Linked DNA regions of Anolis sagrei. The protein of the gene in region 2 purifies or fractionates together with the protein of the main gene of each other region. This does not show direct contact. Links are inferred from orthologs where the notes say so. Each region holds a gene or a part of one and is shown on either strand. Other genes may lie near its edges.

Region 1 (3,745 bases), about 220 kb from region 2:
CCATATTTGGTTCAATTCCATCATTGGTGGAGTTCAGAATGCTCTTTGATTGTAGGTGAACTATACATCCCAGTAACTACACTTGCCGCATTTGCTCCCTTGCCTGGCCTGCTTTGGGTCCAGAGGCGTGCCTGAAGACCCGTCGTGTGCACCAAAAGTCACCTCTTCTCCTGACTTTCTCCTCAGCCATTGGGACCAAGAGAGAGAGAGAGAGAGAGAGAGAGGTGGAGAATGCCACCTTTCCTGAAGGTAGGAGCAAAAACAAAGGAGGGAGCAGAGGTGGGAGATACCTCCAGCCGGAGGGGCTCTCTCTCTCTCTCTCTCGGTCCCAATGGCTGAAGAGAAAGTCAGGAGAAGAGGCAACTTTTGGTGTGCACGCTGGGGTCTTCAGACATGCCTCCGGACCCGAAGCAGGCCAGGTGCGGCGGCTCCGCCCCTTGGCCTACCCGAAGATTGGGGAGAGGAGAGGAGACGGGTGGAGTGCCGGGGGATTGGGAAAGGGAGCCGGTCATGGGGAAGGGAACGAACGCGGAGAATGATTGAGCGCCGGCTCTGCTCACGCACCCGGTGGCCGGGTGGAGCAGGAACGAGAGGGGCTAGGCGAGGCTCAAGGGCCTGGCCCCTTTGGGAAGAGGATTGCCCGGCAGCGAAGCAAGAAAGCCGAGGCTCCCCCCGGACTGCTAGGGCTGTTGTGAGCTGAGGGGGTGCTCCTCAAGTGGCAGTCGAGGGGCATTTACAGAGGCGCCTCTGCGCCCCTGGCAAAAAAAAGTGTTCTGCGACCGCTTACTTCGCGTAATGGACGAGCCGCCCCTGTCAGCAGCAGAGTAGCATAGCGTAAGGGCAGATGTCTTCACTGTGTCTGGTTGTGATCCCCAGGTTGTGCCAGTCAGCTTTCCTATGATGTTGTTTCTAGCGCCCACTTTTTGCTTCATGATAATCTGAGGCAAACAGGAAACCTAGAATCAGATGCTTGAATATAGGGCCTGTCTGGAAGGACCCAAGTTGTGTGAGGTAACCACCCGCTGCCAAGGCCTGCCCGCCTATCTCCACCACAGCCCGGCCAATGCTCTCCTGGCGAGTGCGCGAGGAAAAGGCCCGCCTCCCTCCCTCTGTCCCTCCCTCCCTCCCTCCCTGGGCGCTCCTGGCGGAGGGATCCTCGTCGTCCTGCCTCCTGGAGCCGCGCGTCGTTCACCTGGGCGGCGCGGCGGATGTGTCCCAGCCTCCTCGCCTCCCCCTCCCCCTCCTCTTTTGTGCTGCTGGTTCTGCGGCTCTCGCGGTGTCCCTGGAAGTAGTTCCGACACTCCCTTCCCAGGTCCAGGGTGCTACGCTGCCGGAGCCTCATCACTTTGTGTGATTATTTTATCCATTTTCCTCAAGCCGAGAGACGTCAAGAAGTCCCTGAGGAATGCGGCAGGGCTAGCGGATTGCCAGGAGGACTGAAGCGGCTGAGAGAAAGCAGGCCGGAGAAAGAAAGGGCCCGGGCGAGCAAAGGCCGACGTGAATGCCTTTGCCGTAGGAGCTGGAGGAGGAAAGAAGGAAGGGAGATTGTGCCTTCGGAAAACCCAGGCGAGGCTGCAGGCATGCGTAGTTCCTGCGCGCGGCCTCCCTCCCGGGCTTCCAAAGGGAAGGGGGATCGAGGCTGCCTGGACTGAGGGAGGCCGCGGCGCGCGACGGAGTGAGTGCGCGAGCGAGTGCGCGAGGGAGGCCTCCTTTGGCGCGAGGCGGGGGCCATGGGGGCGCGCGCCTGCCCTCCCGCCGCCCCTTCCCCGGCCGCCGAGTAGTGTTTGTTCCGGGAAGAGAAGACAGACAAAGGCGGGAGGGGAAGACCCTTCCCCGGCTGAGGCCTCTCCAAGCAATTGTTTCGGCGCCGCTCCGTTTCTGCCCCTCCGAAAGCATGAGAGGGCGGCCGAGGAGGTGTCGCTCTCCTCCTCCTCCCCCTCCGCCACCTTCGCCTCCCCGCCGGTGAGAGCCAGAGGAGGGAAGATGGGCGCCGTGCTGAGGAGCCTCCTCGTCTGCGGTTTGTGTTCCCTGGCGAGAGGTGAGAGCCAAGGAGGGAGGCGGGCGGGCAGGCAGGCAGGCCGAAAGTTGGGCCTTGTGGGGAATCAAGGCGGCTCTCCTCCCTAGGAGTTGTGTGTGTCTACTCAAGGCAGGGACACCTCTGAGGGGCGAGAGGGAAAGGCCTGGCTGCTGGAAGGGGGCGGGGATCCTGCCTTCATCCGTGGATATGTGTTGGTTCTGGGCCTTTCTCTCAGGCCCCCCTCTACACTGGCCTTCAGACTCAGGGCCCTTCCACACACAGCCCTATATCCCAGAATATCATGGCTGAAAATCCCACATGACCTGAGTGTGGACTCAGGGCCCTTCCACACAGCCATAGAACCCAGAATATCGAGGCAGGAAATCCCACAAAGTGTGGATTCAGGGCCCTTCCACACAGCCACAGAACCCATAATATCAAGGCAGAATATCGCACATTACCTGAGTGTGGACTCAGGGTCCTTCCACACAGCCATAGAACCCTGAATATCAAGGCAGGAAATCCCACAGTGTCTGAGTGTGGACTCAAGGTCCTTCCACACAACCACAGAACCCAGAATATCAAGGCAGAAAATCCCAAATTATCTGAGTGTGGATTCAGGGCCCTTCCACACAACCATAGAACCCAGAATATCAAGGTAGGAAATCCCACATTATCTGAGTGTGGACTCCAGGCCCTTCCACACAACCACAGAACCCAGATTATCAAGGCAGAAAATCCCGCATTATCTGAGTGTGGACTCAGATAACCCAATTAAAAACAGATATTGTGGGATTTTCTGCCTTGATCTTCTGGGATATAGGGTTTGTGGAAGAGCGCTGTCATTGTGGACTCATAATCCAGTTTAAAGCAGAAAACCTGGGATCATATCCTGAGATATAAAGCCTATCTGGAAGGGCTCTGGGTTATTTGGCTGTGTAGAATGGCCCTACACTGCAATATTTGATTTGAACTGCATTATATGGCAGTGTAGAAGAGGCCTTGCTAAATAATTCTCCATTTCCTGAATTTGAGACCAAGCCACACTAGAATTCACACAAATAACTATCGTTTAGATGAGACTGAAAGTTGTATATAAACAAATAAGCAAATGCTTGGTTGTGGGTGTGCGGATTGAATTGCATGGGGACTGAGCTCCACATAATCTCTCCCTAATTTCGGGGTCCTTCCACACAGCCATTTAACCCAGAATATCAAGAGAGATACTCCACAGTGGCTCCTTCCACACAGCTCTATAAAATCCCACATTGTCTGCTTTGAACTGGATTATATGGCAGTCTTGACTCAGATAATCCAGTTCAAAGCAGATATTGTGGATTATATGACTTGATATTCTGTGTTATGTGGCTTTGTGGAAAGTCCCAATGTCTGCTTTGAACTGGGTGCCCTTCCAGACAGGCCCTATATCCCAGGATCTGATTCCAGATTTTCTGTTTATCCCAGATTATTTGGCAGTGCAGAAAAAGCAGAAAACCTGGGATCAGATCCTGGGATATTGGGGTTGTCTGGAAGGGATCTGGGTTATCTGAGTCCACAATGCCATATAATCCAGTTCAATGTGTATTTTATACAGCTGTGTGAAAGGGGCCTCAGTTGTAATTTTAAGGCCCTTTCTACACTGCCATGTAATCCAGATTATCAAATCAGATAATCCACATTATCTAGATTATATGATTCTACGCTGCCATATATATAATCAGTTCAAAG
Region 2 (3,745 bases):
ACACACACACAGATATAGTCTAGATTTGAAAGGGACCCCCTAAAGAAGGACAATGATATGTTGCATGTTCCAGAGTAGGCAAACCAGACAAATCTCCACATCAATACTGACAAAGAAACAGCAAAAAAAAAAAATACTTTTTACCCACAAGCATAAAGAAATTACATATATCAGAAACCAACACTTTCTCATTACTTTATTTCCCAGATCACCAGATGGTGCCACAGCAATGTGTGGCAGGGGACAGCTAGTAAGTTATATACATTCCTTTTTTCTTCCCTTTTTTTTCTTCCCCTCTGGAAATTTTTTAATATATTTTTTTCTCTCAACTTTCCTATACACTTATATTGTTCCCCCTCTTTTATTGTATCACTATAACTTCTTTGAATAAAAAATACTTTAAAAAATAAACAAGTTGATAGCAGCCCTTTAACTTGGCTTTAAAATCCCCCTCTAGCCAACATCACAAACATTGAATACAAAGAAGGGGCCGTGTGTATATTTACAGTGCATGTCCTATATTTAAAAAATAAACCTCAAACTTTGAAACTTCGAAAGCCTCGTGGCGGGGCCTTGGAGCAAAACAGGGGAGGGAGGCAATCAATGGGAACATAGAACCATAGAGTTGGAAGAGACCTCGTGGGCCATCCAGTCCAACCCCCTTCGGCCAAGAGGTAGGAAAGTTGCATTCAAAGAATCATAGAGTTGGAAGAGATTTTGTGGGCCATCCAGTCCAACCCCCTTCTGCCTAGAAGCAGGAAAGTTGCATCCAAAGAATCATAGAATTGGAAGAGACCTCGTGGGCCAGCCAATCCAACCCCATTCGGCCAAGAAGCAGGAAAATAATAATAATAATAATTATTATTATTATTATTTATTTGATCAGTCATATGACCATTTCAAAATAGAACACAAGGCAACAAGGTGAATAAGCAGGAAAATTGTATTTAAAACAACCCCGACAGATGGCCACCCAGACTCTGCTTAAAAGCCTCCAAAGGGGGAGCCTCCACCACGCCCCGCGGCAGGGAGTTCCACTGTTTCCCAACAGGAAACGGTTTGTTTATTAGCAGTCTTTGGGAGGGAGATTGACCCACGCTTCACCAAAGCTGCAGAAGAAGGGCTTGGGTTTGGTGAAGTGGTGGCTTCCCTGCCCAGGAGGGGGAAACTTCTCCTCGGCGCACAAGAAACTTCCTAACTCGAAATACGACAAAGGAGGGGGGAGGATCTGCTGGAGGGAGAAAGCCACGGTTCAAACTTCCTTCTGATCTAATGTATATTACCTTGATACAGAACTGGACAGGAGGACCCTCCGACATGTCTCCGCCGAGGAGGAGGAAGCACAGGCAGGAGGAAGGAAGAAAGAAAGAAGTTCTCGGCTGGCTTTCTCTCTCTCTCTTTTTCCCCCGCGCTGGCTGGCTTCCTCTTCCTGTTCCTCTTCCTCCCGGAAGGAAGCCTCCCCGCCTTGCCCTGCCCACCGCGGGCGGGCCAGCTATGCCCCACTTCCTCGGGCCCGCGCTTGCTTTTCCTGCGGGGGCGCCTTCCGCCCGGTGGCCTCCGGAGCCGAGGCGGGCATGGCCCCTTTGGGGGGTGGAGGGGGGCCCCCTCTTCCTTTTCCTCCCCTTCCTCCTCCTCCTGCCCGCCTTCCGGGGCCCCTGGATGGAGGGAAGGAGCGACAAGGGCGCCTCTTTCCCGGCAGAGAGAAAGCGAAAGGCGCCTCTCCGCCTTCGGGCATCGATCGGGAGAGTTTCAGGGCTGAGGAAAAAAGTGACGTGAGTTCCCAGCACTGAGCTCTGCCTCTTAAAGGGGACGGAGGCACACCAGGAAATACGGAGAGAGAGAGAGGAAGGAGGGGGAGAAAGAACCAAGGAAGTGAATACAAGGGATCTTTAGAGGAAACAGGAAGGAGAGGGGGAGGGGAAGGAGGGAATGGGCAGTCACAAAAGCGGAAGGAGGGGGAGGGAGGGAGGGAAGGAAGGAGGAGAGGGCGCGCAGCCAGCGCTCCTCCCGCTTCCTGCCCTTCCTTCTTCCCTCTCCCCTCACTAGGAAAGGGGAAGCTGCTTCCTCCAGGCCGAGTGGGGGTGGGGCAGGCCTCTGCTGAGGGAAACGGGGAGACTGGCTGGCGGGATTGCTTCAGCCTGCCACAGCAAACAGGCGAGCCAATGAGGGGGCTTCTATGCCTGCTCGCGCCGAGCCGAGTCTGGCTCGCGCTCTGCCCCCTTCAGGGGTTCCGACCAGGAAGCGAGGGCTTCGGTTACACAAAGCGAGGCGGGGGCAAGGAAAGAGGGAGGGGGGGCAACACGTTGGCGCCTCCCGCGCACGCGCAGTTAAAGCCCAAAGCGGGGGCCAATGGAGTCACTGATGAGTCTGTAAAAAAAGCGGGAAAACTGTGTGCTTCTCTTCATAATGACACGGCTGCTCCCGAGTTCTGCACGGCTCGCGCTCTCGCTCGAGTACAATGTTTCTCAACCTTCCTCATACAGTTCCTCATGTTGTGGGGACCCCCCCAAGCATAACTTATTTATTTATCTTGTCAGGAGTGAACCAAAACAGTTGTATTGCATTAAAAAAAACAGACAAACAAAACACAACATTTGCAGACTTGGTGTTCTATTAAATGTCCTTTGACCAGCAGCTGGCCACTTGGAGTGCCTCTGGTTTGTTTTTTTGTCCTGTCAGGAGCAACTTGAGAAACTGCAAGTCGCTTCTGGTGTAAGAGAATTGGCCGTCTGCAAGGACGTTGCCCAGGGGACACCCAGATGATTTGATGTTTTATCCTTGTGGGAGGCTTCTCTCATGTCCCCTCAATGAGGAGCTGGAGCTGATAGAGGGAGCTCATCCACCTCTCCCTGGATTTGAACCTGCGACCTGTCAGTCTTCAGTCCTGCCGGCACAGGGGTTTAACCCACTGTGCCTCTGGTGTTGCTGCAAGAAGGTCCTCCATTGTGCATGTGGCAGTGCTCAGGTTGCATTGCAGCAGGTGGTCTGTGGTTCGTTCCTCTCCACACTCGCATGTCATGGATTCCACTTTGTAGCCCATTTCTGAAGATTGGCTCTGCATCTTGTGGTGCCAGAGCGCAGTCTGTTCGGCGCCTTCCAAGTCGCCCAGTTTTCTGTGACCAGAGGCAGGCATGTAACCGGGGGGGGGGGGGGTTGGGGGCTTCAGCCCCCTCCCCCCGAAATTCTCATGGTGGTCCGCAAAAAGGCCTTACTGGTACATTATTTAAACTGATATGTTTATTCATATCATGATCTGATCACCATGCTCAATATATTCCATATGCATGGGGGTATTGGGGTAATGATACAAAAGGTTTGCTATGGTAGACTCTCTTTCACTCAGACTCAGCCCCCCCCCCCCCCCCCGAATCAAAATCCTGCCTACACGCCTGCCCAGAGAGGAGTCTCTCATTTGGTATCAGCCATCGGTTGAGGTTCTAGGTTTTAGCCTGCCACTTTTGGACTCTCGCTTGCTGAGGTGTTCCAGCAGGTGTCTCTGTAGATCAGGGGTCCTCAAACTAAGGCCCAGGGGCCAGATACAGCCCTCCAAGGTCATTTACCCAGCCCTTGCTCAGGGTCAACCTAACTCTGAAACAACTTGAAAGCACACAACAAAAGCAACAACTCTATCTCATCAGCCAAAAGCAGGTCCACACTTCCTATTGAAATGCTAATAAGTTTATATTTGTTAAAATTGTACAGTGTACATAGGAATTCGTTCATTGTTGTTTTTGTTTTTTTTATA

The links. Proteins that work in one complex are often made in the same cells at the same time.
Region 1: the proteins of ETV6 (region 2) and LRP6 purify together in Homo sapiens (affinity purification with mass spectrometry; 3 studies listed by BioGRID and IntAct, counting the BioPlex papers as one, with this or other methods). This does not show direct contact. The link is inferred for Anolis sagrei from reciprocal best matches to the Homo sapiens genes ETV6 and LRP6.

The regions. Positions count from the first base shown.
Region 1 is NC_090025.1:101,786,681-101,790,425, reverse strand, and holds the start of LRP6 (low-density lipoprotein receptor-related protein 6), read left to right. Parts: upstream 1-1,151; 5' UTR 1,152-1,983; coding exon 1,984-2,038; intron 2,039-3,745. UniProt on the Homo sapiens protein: Component of the Wnt-Fzd-LRP5-LRP6 complex that triggers beta-catenin signaling through inducing aggregation of receptor-ligand complexes into ribosome-sized signalosomes.
Region 2 is NC_090025.1:101,567,043-101,570,787, reverse strand, and holds the start of ETV6 (transcription factor ETV6), read right to left. Parts: upstream 2,164-3,745; 5' UTR 1,320-2,163; coding exon 1,284-1,319; intron 1-1,283. UniProt on the Homo sapiens protein: Transcriptional repressor; binds to the DNA sequence 5'-CCGGAAGT-3'. Plays a role in hematopoiesis and malignant transformation.